Tamandua tetradactyla: one gene and its partner. The protein of the gene in region 1 interacts with the protein of each later gene in a biochemical or structural test. Links are inferred from orthologs where the notes say so. Each region holds a gene or a part of one and is shown in the gene's direction. Other genes may lie near its edges.

Evidence for each region.
Region 2: the proteins of ERBIN (region 1) and PKP4 form a complex in vitro, tested with the Homo sapiens proteins (4 studies listed by BioGRID and IntAct, with this or other methods). The link is inferred for Tamandua tetradactyla from reciprocal best matches to the Homo sapiens genes ERBIN and PKP4.

What each region holds. Positions count from the first base shown.
Region 1 is NC_135335.1:113,753,733-113,761,211, forward strand, and holds the start of ERBIN (erbin), read left to right. Parts: upstream 1-4,471; 5' UTR 4,472-5,188; intron 5,189-7,479. UniProt on the Homo sapiens protein: Acts as an adapter for the receptor ERBB2, in epithelia. By binding the unphosphorylated 'Tyr-1248' of receptor ERBB2, it may contribute to stabilize this unphosphorylated state.
Region 2 is NC_135329.1:128,877,417-128,884,807, forward strand, and holds the start of PKP4 (plakophilin-4), read left to right. Parts: upstream 1-4,374; 5' UTR 4,375-4,403; coding exon 4,404-4,494; intron 4,495-7,391. UniProt on the Homo sapiens protein: Plays a role as a regulator of Rho activity during cytokinesis. May play a role in junctional plaques.

The sequences.
Region 1 (7,479 bases):
TTGTGAGATAGTAGCAAAGGGACTGAATGATTTGAAACATAGATAATTGGTCCAAAAATAATTGGAGTTTTAGAAAAGTATAAATGCATTTATTTTGTATAAGCCTGATGGGGTACTTACTCCTTCCCATTTCTTTCCTGGCCTGCTTTTTCTGATGGCTATAAATTATAGTACAATTATTTATTGACTGAATATATAGAGGTATCTTAGTGACATATGATAAATTTTTTTTAGGCTTCAATAACAAAATTTATTAAAGATAAATCAAAATACACTACATAACAAGAGTTCAAGAAAACCAAAGTGCAATTTTAAAAGTTCTTACTTCAACAAACTCAAGGCTTATCAATCACTACCAAAAATTCTATTTCCTTTAAGCTCTAAGAAAAACTTTATCTATATTGAAAGTCTTTGGGTCTTAAGGCCATAGATGAACTCCCACCAAGTTAACAGCAACTTAGATGTTAATATTGTAATACAAACTCCTCCCATTGCCTGGTATACCTGAGACCTGTCAACAACCTTTACCAGGAACCCTTCCACTTAATTTATCTACTAATTATCTAGCAACCTCCTCTCCTAAAAAACAGTATATTTTGACCCTTCAAGTAGTTGCAGGTAAGATTATAGCCTTTTAATTAAAACCTCCAACTGCTTAATTAATACTTATTAAAGTCAGGGCTACAAAAGACCTTTACTATTTTTCTTTTTTATTTCACATGTGTAAAGCATGGCTTCAACCTGGAGGTGGTTTCTTTCTAAACAGAGAACTCATTTTACTAGTTAATTTATTATCTTATTCTCTTAACTTCTATATGATACTTAAAATCTTTTTTAACCAGAATTTACCCTATTATAATTGCAATCTATTTTATGAACACACAACTTTTTAAAATAATTAAACATTTTAGATAATATAAATGCAGCTTTAACACAAAATTCTTTAGAAGCAGGCTTACAGAAGTTGTTGGTTTTTCTGGGGTAGTACATGGGTTTGTTTTAAATATATTAAAAGGTAGAACAATCAATTAACTATACAGTGCTCTTACAAAGTTACAGCAAATATGTTCACTTAATGACTTTTTCCCTCTTTAAGGAATTTTTTTAAAGCAAGAATTTTATAAACCAAACTAAATTACATTTCCTTGCTCAGTTATCTATCAATTCTATTATCTAAAACAGATTCCAAGCTATTCCACAGTAAAGAACTACACCAAGCTAAAGAAAGAAATGCTTTAAATTTTTGTACTATTCTAAAACTTATTTTTTTCTATGGTCTATAAAACATGAATCTGTTTTTATATTTTCTTTTTTGTGTGTGCTTTTTTAAATAAATCAGTAAGTAATATAGGATCAGCACTATGTTTGCTAGACCTGGCATTTACTCACTACAGAAGGTTCAAAGTTTCCTGTCCTTTTAAAATCTATTTTATATTTTGCAAAGGTTTTTTTCAACAATATTTAACTTAAAACTTTTCAACAACATTTAAGTACTTTTCAAGAAAGCACAAGTTACTTTTCGTGGTCCCTGACCAATTTTAATCGGTGGGAACACCAGTGGTACTGTCACCTCCTTTCTGGGGACTCTTTAGCTTGGTAGGCTTGTAGTATAGCTATAGCCTCATCAACCTGAGCACAGTCTCTGGAGACTCAAGCATGTGAAGAAGCTCTGAATTATCAATCTCCAACAACATGCCAGTAATCTCACCAGCAAGGGCAGGACGCATGGCTTCCCTAAGGATAAAGAGCCTTTCACCCAACATCTGCTTTTGCTGTTGAGGAGGAGCAGATGCCAACCTGGAAGCAGTCAGAGGTTCCTGACCTTGAGCATGAATAGCAGGTTGCTGCACAGTAACTCGTGGCGTTGCTTGAAGATGTTCCGGGTTGCGAACTCCCGCCTCATATCGGTAACGTGGAACCGTGCGAATGGCCGGAGGAGGTGCAGCAGCAGCAGCCCCGCCACAGGGTACGGGTACATCGGAGGCACTGCCGCAGTGGCGGCACGTAGGGTTGCGAGGACTCCTGGGATCTGTGGAGGAACTGGTCGCGTGGCGCTAAATGGTGGTGGAGGAATGGCTGGGCACACAGCGCCAGAAGTACTTGGGAATAGATGAGGCCCGGCACCCCAGCAGCCCAGCAAGGATTTGGTCTTATCTGGGCAACTGCATTAGGCGGGTAGTATGCGGCGCGGTTCTGAGGCTGTGGGGTGGGCGCCATGAAGAAACGCGAGGGCGGTGCTGGCAGGGACGGGCCGCGGGGTGGGCGCCATGAAGAAACGCAAGGGCACCATGAAGAAACGCGAGGGCGGTGCTGGCAGGGACGGGCCGCGGGGTGGGCGCCATAAAGAAACGCAAGGGCGCCATGAAGAAACGCGAGGGCGGTGCTGGCGGGGACGGGCCGCGGGGTGGGCGCCATGAAGAAACGCGAGGGCGGTGCTGGCGGGGACGGGCTGCGGGGTGGGCGCCATGAAGAAACGCGAGGGCGCCATGAAGAAACGCGAGGGCGCCATGAAGAAACGCGAGGGCGGTGCTGGCGGGGACGGGGCGCGGGGTGGGCGCCATGAAGAAACGTGAAGGTGGTGCTGGCTGGCAGGGATGGGGCACGGGGTGGGCGCCATGAAGAAACGCCAGGGCGGTGCTGGCGGGGACGGGGCGCGGGGTGGGCGCCATGAAGAAACGTGAAGGTGGTGCTGGCTGGCAGGGATGGGGCACGGGGTGGGCGCCATGAAGAAACGCGAGGGCGGTGCTGGCGGGGACGGGGCGCGGGGTGGGCACCATGAAGAAACGCGAAGGTGGTGCTGGCGGGGACGGGGCGCGGGGTGGGCGCCATGAAGAAACGCGAGGGCGGTGCTGGCTGGGACGGGGCGCGGGGTGAGCGCCATGAAGAAACGCGAGGGCGGTGCTGGCGGGGACGGGGAGCGGGGTGGGCGCCATGAAGAAACGCAAGGGCGCCATGAAGAAACGCCAGGGCGCCATGAAGAAACGCGAGGGCGGTGCTGGCGGGGACGGGGAGCGGGGTGGGCGCCATGAAGAAACGCGAGGGCGCCATGAAAAAACGCGAGGGCAGTGCCGGCAGGGACGGGGCGCGGGGTGGGCGCCATGAAGAAACGCGAGGGCGCCATGAAGAAACGCGAGGGCGGTGCTGGCGGGGACGGGGCGCGGGGTGGGCGCCATGAAGAAACGTGAAGGTGGTGCTGGCTGGCAGGGATGGGGCACGGGGTGGGCGCCATGAAGAAACGCGAGGGCGGTGCTGGCGGGGACGGGGCGCGGGGTGGGCGCCATGAAGAAACGCGAGGGCGGTGCTGGCGGGGACCGAGCGCGGGGTGGGCGCCATGAAGAAACGCCAGGGCGGTGCTGGCGGGGACGGGGCGCGGGGTGGGCGCCATGAAGAAACGTGAAGGTGGTGCTGGCTGGCAGGGATGGGGCACGGGGTGGGCGCCATGAAGAAACGCGAGGGCGGTGCTGGCGGGGACGGGGCGCGGGGTGGGCGCCATGAAGAAACGCGAGGGCGGTGCTGGCTGGGACGGGGCGCGGGGTGAGCGCCATGAAGAAACGCGAGGGCGGTGCTGGCGGGGACGGGGAGCGGGGTGGGCGCCATGAAGAAACTCGAGGGCGGTGCTGGCTGGGACGGGGCGCGGGGTGAGCGCCATGAAGAAACGCGAGGGCGGTGCTGGCTGGGACGGGGCGCGGGGTGAGCGCCATGAAGAAACGCGAGGGCGGTGCTGGCGGGGACGGGGAGCGGGGTGGGCGCCATGAAGAAACGCGAGGGCGCCATGAAAAAACGCGAGGGCAGTGCCGGCAGGGACGGGGCGCGGGGTGGGCGCCATGAAGAAACGCGAGGGCTCCATGAAGAAACGTGAGGGTGGTGCTGGCTGGCGGGGATGGAGCATCGGGTGGGCGCGCCTCTCACGGCTGCCATTCTCTGCGTGTGCTGGTCCGTGAGGAGGGCCTGGCACTCTTCTTCGCACAGAGCTAAAGCTACATACAACGGCTTGGTGGCCACAAGTCCACCATTCATTTCGGAAACCGCTTTAGTGGCCTCTTCTGGGGTGGAGAAACACACAAACCAAACCCTTTGCTGCGACCACAGTCCATCATGGCCTGTGCACTAGTGATCGCACCAAACGGAGAAAACTCTTTCCCGAGACGCTCATCATCAATACGGTCATCAAGACTTTTCACATAAAGGTTAACAACCTGGTATCTGGTGATCCTGTCCTGCTTCATCTGCTCAAATCTACACTTAAGTTCTGTCTGCCATTCTACTTCTTTCTGAGGGCGCCCAACATGAATGTGTCTTCCACTGACCTCCTTTCCATTCATCTCATCCACAGCTCTCTGTGCATCTTCATGCCTCTCAAAGCTCACAAACCCAAAACGTTCGGATTTTCCACTTTCATCAGTCATTACCTTCACACTTACGACACGCCCAAACTTGGCAAAGAGAAGCCTAAGGTGCTCACTATTCACTTCTTCACCAAAATTCTTGGTGTAAACGTTGGTGAACTCTTTCGCCCTAGTTCCAACTTCGGCTTCGCGCTCTTTAACAGACTTAAATCGCCCAACAGACACTTCGCGATCATTCAGAAGCATCCCATTCATTTTCCCAAAAGCTTTCTCTGCGGCTTCCTGTGTCTCAAAACGCACAAAGCCATAGCCCTTGGAGCCATTTCCATCACAAACCACCTTACACGAAAGGATGTTGCCAAAAGCAGAAAACATATCGTACAGCGCTTTGTTATCAATACATCTGTCCAAGTGTTTAATGAATGTGTTACCCACCCCACTTTTACGAAGAGATGGGTCACGCTGAGCCCACAGGAGGCGAACCGGCTTCCCCTTTATAACATCGGAATTCCTGGTCTCCAGCGCACGCGCCGCATCCCCCGACGGCTGGAAGTTCACACGCGTGGCCCGAGGAACGGCGGGTGACCACGTCCCCGCAGACCCGAATGGACAGCATGGGCCCTACCGTACTGAGCTTCTCGTACAGCGTCGCCTCAGTAACGTCGGGGTGCAGCTCCCCCACATACGGCGAAGCCATGGGGTAGTTGGAAGCACTGGGATTCATCTCGACACAAACGGTTCTCGGCACCACAGGCCGCGACAAACGGTTCTCCATGACAGTTTTTCTAAATGGCCTCAGAGAATACTGAGGAAATAGAAGGAAATACGGGGATATATTCCAGGTACTTAATGTACAAAGCAAGGAGCAGCATAGATCCTGAGACAGTCTGGCTTATTAACACCGAAATGGGACCTACAAATACTTTTTGAGTTAGCAAGGAATTTTTTTCTTTAATTTATATAGTTTATGTGGCATGGTGGTATGAAAGAGCGTTGCGTTGAGAAGCAGGGAACTTGGGATTTAGTCCTAGCTTTGGCAATAACTGTGATTTTGCATTTACTTTTTTTTTTTTTTGCGCGTGCAGGCACCGGGAATCGAACCCGGGTCTCCAGCATGGCAGATGAGAACTCTGCCAGTGAGCCACGGTGGCCCACTCTGGATTTACTTTTCTAACCTCTGCACTAACTCAATTCAGTGACAGTTTTAATGTGATTCTGGCCACACCTGGCCACATGGCCACCCCTGGAGCTGAAGGTGAGCTCAGCCCTCTCCTTACTTACCCCATAGACCAGGAGTCAGGGAGAATTCCCTAAAGAAAATTCCATGAGATGGGCTGTTCCAAACAGGGAAATGACTTCTGAGCAGGCAAGTTACTTTAGCTGTAAAACGAGGAGGTTGGTCTAAAAAGTTCTATTCTAAACTGTCTAGATTAGGCTTCACAGGATTGTAAATAAATGCATTATTATCTGAGTTAAAGTCTAGAGAATCTGCCGCCTTCTCCTTGACTTCTAATTTGTGATGTCCATTCCTTGTGGCTGTAGGGCAATTTCAGGAGTTCAGACTGGGAGTTGTAAGGCAGGTTCCTGAGTGGATTTCCTGTTTTTGTGAGTTGTCTGTGTATGCTTCCTGCAGAGGGACTGTTTTATTAATAGCAACAAACGCCCTGAAACAACAGACTTCTTTGACCCTATCACCATTTTTATCTTTGGAAAAGTTATGATGTGTTACTGGGTATGAAGAATAGTTTATTCTTCAAATGGGCAGTGGAGAAACTGAATTTCTTTTTACTCGGGCCCTGGCGAGTCCAGTGCTCCCACAAGTTTAAAGTTTTCACAGCATATCTTATTTGAAAATTACGGGTAGGGTATCTGGAAAAAGTATCAAAGGAATGCACAAACACTTTTTTTTTTTAATTACAGAAATTGTAGGTTTACAGAAAAATCATGCAGAAAATACAGAGTTGCCATATACCACAGCCCCACCCCCACAGTTTTCCCTATTATTAATATTTTGCATTCGTGGGATACATTTGGTATAATTGATGAACCAATATTTTACATTTATATTATTAAGCAAAGTCCATAGTTTACATTAGGGTTCACAATGTGATACATTTGTTACAGTCGGCAAAAGAATATTAATATAATTGTCACTGTATTAATTCACTATGGCTCATGGTTTACATTAGTGTCCATTGTTTATGTTGTATAGTACTATAGCTTTTTTAAAATTTTTATTCTAGTAACATATATACTGCCTAAAATGTCCCCCCTTTAACCACATTTAAATATATATTTCAATGCAGCTAATTACATTCACAATGTTATACTATATAAACAGACCTTGAGTATAACTTTGTCTCAATACCTACTTTCTCTCCAATCTGAACTTCAATGACTATTTTTAATGGAACTGGCCCTGGAATGGTAATCCCAGAAGGTCCTTTAAATTATATAATTACACAGGATAATATATAATAAAAAGCTTCCTGCTCTATAAGTCTAACATCAAATTTGCCTATATATTACCTCAATTAGCAAACTGGCTACTTTATCTCAGAAGATTGTTGGACTGATGAAAATGACATAATGCATGTAAAATACTTGGCACAATGTCTGGCACAGACTAAGTGGTCATAAATATTAGCTATTACTACTATCTGTAAAAAGAATATAATACCTATCACAGAAGGTTATTGTGAGGATCAAAAGGCATGATATTTATAAAGTATTTAACACTATGTTTGGCACATAGGAAGCATTTAGAAATAGTTCCTGCTGCTGCTATCAGAAGAAACTTGTAGATGTTTTCAAGGAATAATAGTATTTCCAAAATCAGTAACTAGCAGTATTTACCATGTTCATGTATGAAAAAAATCTTCTGATTAGAAGATCAGTTTTTTTGCTATCTAAAACCTATTTTGAGTCAGTGTGGTAGTGTTATGGTTAATTAAATATTAAACATTTTATTGTGAAAAGCATATCCAAGACTTGCCATCCAGCAGCTATTCCACCTTGGACAAATTCTTAAAAGCCATCATTTCCTCATCTTTGAAAGGGCTATAATAATATTTATCTTTCATACCTCACATGATTATAATAAAAGACCATATGAGACTGGATTGATTAAAGG
Region 2 (7,391 bases), on another chromosome or scaffold:
AATTCAGTTACATTTCTGCTATTTACTTTTGTTCTTGAGGACAGAGTATACACCAAACCTCTTCAGTCTTTATAATGTTGCTAGAGCCCCACCCCACAGTCAGCCTGATCTTAGAGGATTCTCTATACACTCCTAATTCCCAGCCACCAGGCCTACCAAGGTGTTGTGGCTATTAGGACAAATGCCTCCTCTTTTTAAGAAGGTCATTTGCATTTTTATAGATATTCAAGATGGGAGACAAGGGTTTCCCACTCTTCACTGGAAGACTGAAATTTGGGCATTGTAACTTGCAAGTAAAAGGCATTTTCGTAGAAGAAAACTTGATTGACAAAATGAGCTAGGATTTCGAGGAGAAAGAGCACACTGTTCAGAATAATTTCAGCTGTATTCAAGTGTGAAAATTACATGGGATGTGGAACAGTAGAAGCCTCATGAAATCCCCTTGTATCCTTCAAGGCAGTCAGAGGTGACAACGTGAAAATTAAGACTGAGGTTTAGGAAAGTTGAAGTTGAGGAACTTCAGGGTGGATGCCTGGAATAATCTCAGTCAAGTATGAGAAGGATCACTGGAAGAAGGCTGAGTGCAGAAGGGACTTGAGAAGAGCAGAAACAGGACAGGTTTGGTAAAAGTATTCCAGATCATGTGCTAGCAAATCACCCTACTTGATTATGGAAGGGATTTGGGGAGTCAGTGAGGACCCAGCCAAGACTAGACAGTCTGAACCTTTAGAAGAACTAAATGATTTTGTAACTTTTTCCAGCAATGCTTGGTAGTACAGGAGCAAGTTGAAAAGAAACCATTCAATGGAATGTAACAATTACAAAAAAAATGTTGAGTGACAACTTAATTTCAGGCAACATTATTCATGGTGGATTTTATTAACATTTTAATCATTTAAAATATGAAGTACACAGTATCAAAATACTCAACAAACCTGTGATCTTAGATAAAGACAAACAGAAAAGATGATGTAAGTAAAAAAATTAATCAACTATTTTCTGCTTGTTAGCCTAAGGGAAGAGAAAAATAAATACCCATTTTCTCTTTGTATTAGACACATTTTCCATTTACTTAGTGTTATTAAAACCCAAATCATTGCTATTCTGTCAGTACATTAAAATGTATCTTATTTATAAAAAACTGCATTTTATTTTTTCTATTCTCTAAACACAGAGAGAGAGAGAGAGAGAGAGAGAGAGAGAGAGAGAGAGAGAGAGAGAGAGAGAGAAAGACAGAAGAAACAAAAGCATGAGTTAATTTCCATGATGGCATGGCATGAGACAATACTTCCTGGCCCCTGCTGATCCCTTCCCAATTCTTGAAAAGGGCGGGAGAACATTCACATGTTCAACTGATTTATTCCTTGGTTCAACCTTGTACAGAATTGCTAAATTCAGATTCAACTACAAATTGTGGAGAGTTGTTTTCCTCAGACAAGGTACTGTATTAACACACTTTATCTTGGATTATATTTTTGTAGTCTTAAATTACAGTAAGATAGAAACAGTAGCAAATAATATCCCCTGGTTCAAAATTCAGGACAGTAGTTAAAATATGTAACTGATGTCTAACTTACACATACATTAATCTTTTTCTCTCAATAAAATGTTTCTTATTTACAAAAGCCTGTCAGTTTTTTACAGAGTGTGGTCCTTCCAACAGGACAGAAACTAACATAAGCATAGTCTTGTTACTAAAGAGATTAATATAAAAATGGCAAAATCACCAAAAGAAGGAACCTAAGAATATCTGTAGCTATATGCTGGAGCAATATATTGCTTAAAAAAGCCTAATAAAGTCATGAAGTCCCATTTTAATAGGTGGTATCTAATTATGAACATTATTTTTAAAAATGATATTGAAAAATTAGCACAGTAACTTTAAATGAAGGAAGTAAAGGACTTGGTATGAAGTCTCAAAATTTCTGATTCAATGCCTCGGGTCATTTAAGAAAAATCAAATTTAGAGATAAACTGAAAAAATCCACAAAACAAAATCCATATAACCATAATCTATTTTTTTTTCTTTTTGTAAAATAGTCAGAAGGCAGGAAGAATTGACTGTGTCATCTGTCTTTTCCCAACCTGTAACCTCTTAGGGGAAAAAACATGCACCTGCCAAGCTCATGATGCAGAATGCACACACAGCTGGGTGTTTAACAATCTTTCAGTGAGAAAATTAAAGGTTTGTGTTTGGGGAAACCAGAAAAGGTGTGCTCACCCTTTGGCACCAACACACAATTTCAGGAGCCACCCTGTTTCCTTATCAAAATGGTGTCCAAAGTAAATCCTCTTTTGAGTGTCCTTTAGATATTCTATAAGTTTGAAGACCCAAAATTTGGAAGCAAGATTCTCCCCCAGGGAAGGGGGCGTGGTCGGGAATAAGTGGAATTCAGGTAGATCACTGATATCAGAAGGAAGCATCAATTTAAGGGATGAGGTGCAAACTCACCTGGAGAAGCAGAAGCTGCACAAGAGTCAAAGGTCAAAGAGTATAACCTCAGGGTCTACCAAGGCCCAAGAGAAGTGAAATGCCCGCTTCTGGGCTCTCAGCCTCAAGGATACGTATAGCGGTTCCCAGTGCCTGCCTTTGACGTCCGGGACAAACCCTACCATGCACGGTAGAGGGTGACAGGGAGGCAAAGCATTACCTAGCCAGATTTCTGAGCCTTTGCCCGGAATTCCCCTCCACTACTTTACCTCACCCCTTCCCTTGCCTGAGACACCTTCACCTCACTCCACCTTCTCCAGGCCCTCTTGCTCTTAACAGCATCGGTCTCTATGGCAACCTGAAACCGCAGCTCCCATTGGCCTGTTCAATATGAGGGCCGGGCCAATGGGAGGGCCAGTCTTCTTCTCCCGACCAATAGGGCTGGCGGGGAGCCTGTCCGGAGACGGCAGCGTGCTGACGTTCCCGGGAGCCCGGGGCCGGCTGGGCAGGCGGGCTGGTGGCTGGGCGGGCGACGGCGGCGGCGGCCTCTGGGCAGTAGAGGGGGCTCCGGGGCTGAGTCCGTGTCGACGCCGGCCGCGGAGACGGCACCATGGGCACTGGGTAGAGGGGCAAGTTGGCCACCGCCGCCGCCGGGGGTGGTGGGAGAGCCTCTCCGGGGCAGGGGGCGGGTGGGGGAGGGAGGGGCGGGCACCCGCGCGGCCACTGCACTTTTGTAATTTTTTCGGGTGCCGCAGCGGCGACCACTCCGCGCTTATGTCTCTGACCCCCGGAGCGACGACGGCCGCTGCTTAACCTGGAAAGTAAGTGTGCGGGCTCGCGGGCGGGCGCGGAGACTCCTGCCCTCGAGAGTCCGGGTCCTCGCCCCCTCAAGCCGGAGCCGGGACCTGCCTCCCAGGGCGCGGAGGGGGACGGCGCTTCCCTCCCGTTACTCCATCCCCACCGCCTCCCGGCCGCCTCGGCTTTCCTGCCCCGCCTCGTGTTCCTGCCCGCACTCGCCTGCCTACTCCCCTCCCCCCGGCGAGCGCACAAGTTTCACCCTCCATTTGCTTTTCTCCGCGATTACTCTCCCCGGCTCTCCCTGCATACCGCGCACGACCCTTCCCCACGTTGGCCTTTTAGGTTCCAGAGTCCCTACCTCCGAACTTGGTCGCGGTGCCGGCTCTCTCCCGGACCTGTAATTCGGCAGCTTCCCCGCTCCCGCCCTCCTGGCTCGCCACCCCGCGCCCCCGGCACCCCGGGGCGCCTTCCTTCCTCAGCTCAGGGGCCGTCTCTTGATCCCTCTTATCCTGTATACCGCAACCTGGCCCCCTCCACATCCTCCCACGCCCCTGCTGCCTGCACGGCCTCGGGTTTGCCCCTTGTCCGGCACTCCTATCCACCACCCCACCACCCCCTCTGTCCACTAAGCCCCACTCTCCTGCCGCGCGTCCTCACGCTCCACCCCTCCTGGTTCCTCAGCCCTGAGTCTCCCCGGCTGCTCTTCTGCGCCGCCGCTTCCCCCTCTCCTTGCCAAGAGTTAGAGCAGAGCTGCGGCACCCCTCTGGTGGATCGGGTGTCCCTACCCACCGCTCTGGCGGCCCGCCCTCTGCCTTTCCCCCCTACTCGGGGAGCCAGGGGGCGGGCAGCGGGGCCGGGATTTGGCTGCGTGTTGGCGGAGTGCGACAAACAGCGAGCGCGGGCGCTGGAGGCGCCGCGGCAGCCGCGGGGCGCAGCAGTAGGCAGGTGTGTGTGTCCGGGGGGGGTGGGGTAGGGGAATGAGGCCGCGGACTCCTCGGCTGGCGACACATTGTGCAGGAATGCAAGGAATGCACCAGGGGCAGAGTCCTCTCGGCCTGCCGCGGCTTCTCTAGTGCCTTCCCGGCCCAGCTCTAGTCACGCTGCCAGAGGTCACCGGAGCATCTTCGGAGCTGGTGAGGCTCGCTCAGTTCCTCTCCTCCTTTTGCCTCGTTCCATGCGGCAGAGAGGGCGGCGCGGGGGAAGCGCGGCAGATCTGCTGGGCACCACTGGCCTTTCGACTGGGTCTTTGCTGCATTGGTCTCCAGGTCCGTGGATTTGCGTCTGATGGTGATGTAGCCAAGGTTATTGATCATTGCACAAGGCTTTTTTCTAAGTTTGGTTTACAAGGTTTCGATAGTGCCTCGTTTTTAGGAGGTTTTTCTGAAAACCTGCAGGAACGAGGGGCCGAAGGTTCCTGGAGTGATGAGGTTGCATGTAGCCAACATGTTTCAGCTCTATCAAAGAATATCAGTTAGTGCTCGTGAACGGGGGTGTACTGCAACAGAGATCTTGTATGCATCACTTTGCTGTCATAGGAATTGTAATTTTCTTTTTTACTTGTCATACTGGACTGTGGTTAGACCTCATATAATACATAATGAATAGAAACAGAGAAGCAGTGTTTGGTCAGCGATGGGACAGATAGAACTGTCTGGTACAGTTAAATTCAGGGCGTGTCAATTACCATTAGAAGTAACTCAGGGACACCACAACCACGTCCATTTCAAGATGTAATTTATTAGTGGGGTTGCAGCTCTTTCTCTTTTTGATACTGAGTTTGGCTGCAAAAATAAATGCAGCCCTACAACTTTAAAGGAATGGTAATTCACTTATGTGTAAAATCGATTATGATTAATATCTATTTTTGGTCAAATTTTATTTTCCTTAATAAAGAAAAGCAGAGTTTTGGCAGATGATGTTTCTTAAGAATTGGACTTATATTCTTGCATTTTAAAAAGAAAAGTAGAAGTGTTTCTCTTTTTTAGTGTAGTTATGTTGTTAAAGAAATATCTTCATTTTTGGTGCCTGACAAATAGTTGTGGATAATGACAACAGGACAATGAGAACATATGGCCACAATAAATATTATAAGATGTTGGAGAAGCATACTTTGTGTGCTTTTATCTGACACAGTTTGCTTTGAAAATTAAGTATACTCTAAGACCTTCTGCACATGGTTATTTTGTATCAGATTCAGGAAAATAAGTCGGTTGTCCATCAAGTCAGCTGTTTTCCGACATCTACTTTGTGTGAATCACAGGCATTGAAGAGATGAGAGTCTTTTAGTAAAAGATCCAAGAGAAAGAAAAATAGAGGAAAAAATTTTTCTGCTAGAGGAAAAATTGTGTATTTTGATTGCTGCATTGTTGTCTAGGTATATCCTTCATCAGTGGACTTTTCTAATTTAGAAGCTTAATTTGTGTCCAATAACACTGTGGAGATATTGGGAGATTTTGTAAATGCCAATAGGAAACTTTTATTATGCAACAGTATCATATTACAGTAGAGTCTAACACATGCTTATTTAACTGGATGTGAAGATTAGAAAGTAAAAGCAAATTTAGTTTCTCTGCTGCATTAAAAATTGAAATAACCATTTATTTATATGGATATTGTATATACATGATTGGTTGCACACATAGTTTTACCTGCTTCAGAAACCTTTTGGTTAGAAATATAGCACACAAAAGTTGCAGGCCTATTTTTATAGGTTAGGGTCATTTTATTTTGTTTGTTACAGATATTTGAAGAGAGGAAGTTTTTAATCTGATTATCCTTCACAATTGAAAATAGTATAAACTATATTTTGACCAAAGTACATTCCATCCCCACTCTGCCCCGACTTTATAAAAGGAGAGTGTGCTGCATTTGGTGTCATAAATGTTATACTAATGATTATAAAGTGGGGAAACCTATATCCAGTTATCTTAATTTTTACCTATACTGTTTTTAGATTGAAATAAGGAAGAAGAGGTTGTGATGGAAAGCATAAGAGAGGGGAAGAAGAAACTAACAGCAGCTTATATACCATCAGTAAAGCAAATCATGTACATTATTGCTGCATTTATATGCTGAATAAACAAAACTAAATTCTGTGAATGGCTCTAGCATAATTTAAATTTAAAGAAACTACTAAACTTAGTTTACTAAAACTTTAGCAATTGTATGGCCTTAAGTATTTGGATTAAGTCTTATATTAAATCAGAATTGTAATTTTCTTTTCTGAGCTATATAAATTGAAAAAGTAGTTTAATTTAAAATTTTGAAAACTCACTTAAATTGATTTTTAAAATCAAATTATTGCTAATTTTTAAACTGAGTAATTTCCATATTGTTGACCAGAGATCGACTTAAATAGGGAGTGTTCCTACCCTGGATGATGCCAACCATCAGGTAAGTCCAGTCCCTTACCTGAATGTTAGAAATATTAAGAAACTCTATAATATAATGGTTTTTTTTTTTTCCTATTTTGGTCAAGCTGTAAGACCCTACCTTGTTTAATTCTGAAATGAATACTTTATTTTCAGTCTTAATTGGAAGAGAAAGTGAGATTATTGTGGGGTTATTTCAGAGCACAAATATCCATGGAATTTTTTGCCACTTTAGGAAGTTGCCTTCACGCCTTCAGGTACATTGGGAGATAATTATACCTTCACTGTGTTAAACAGTTTTGTAGTACCCTTCCTGCAAGGACGTAAAACGTAACACCAGTGGACTAGAAATATTTGGAGTATTAAATAATGGTCTCGAGGCCAAACTGTGGCTACACATAGCTGCAAATAGAGAAAAGGAAGTAAAACTTTAAGGATACTTGCATCTAGGGCTTGGAATGCTGTCAGTAAGTGATGATAGCAGTTGGCAGATCTTTTAGATGCCAGTGGTTAGAAATGACAGTGTTCTTTCAGGGTGAGAATATCAGGCCCCAAGTCACAGAGAGAACAGCTATCCAGGTGCTTGCTGGTCTCAGGTAAAAGGTTACACAACTTTCAGATTTTTCTCAATTCGTTAATTTAATAGTTGAGCGAAAGTATCGAAATCTTTTGGGGCTATGTTAGCATTATTAATTTGGGGATGTTACATATTATTTAGGAGATGCTTTTCAATTGAGTTATCTGTAGACATTCAGTTTGTCATTGGCCTAAATTGTTTTTCTATTTATAAT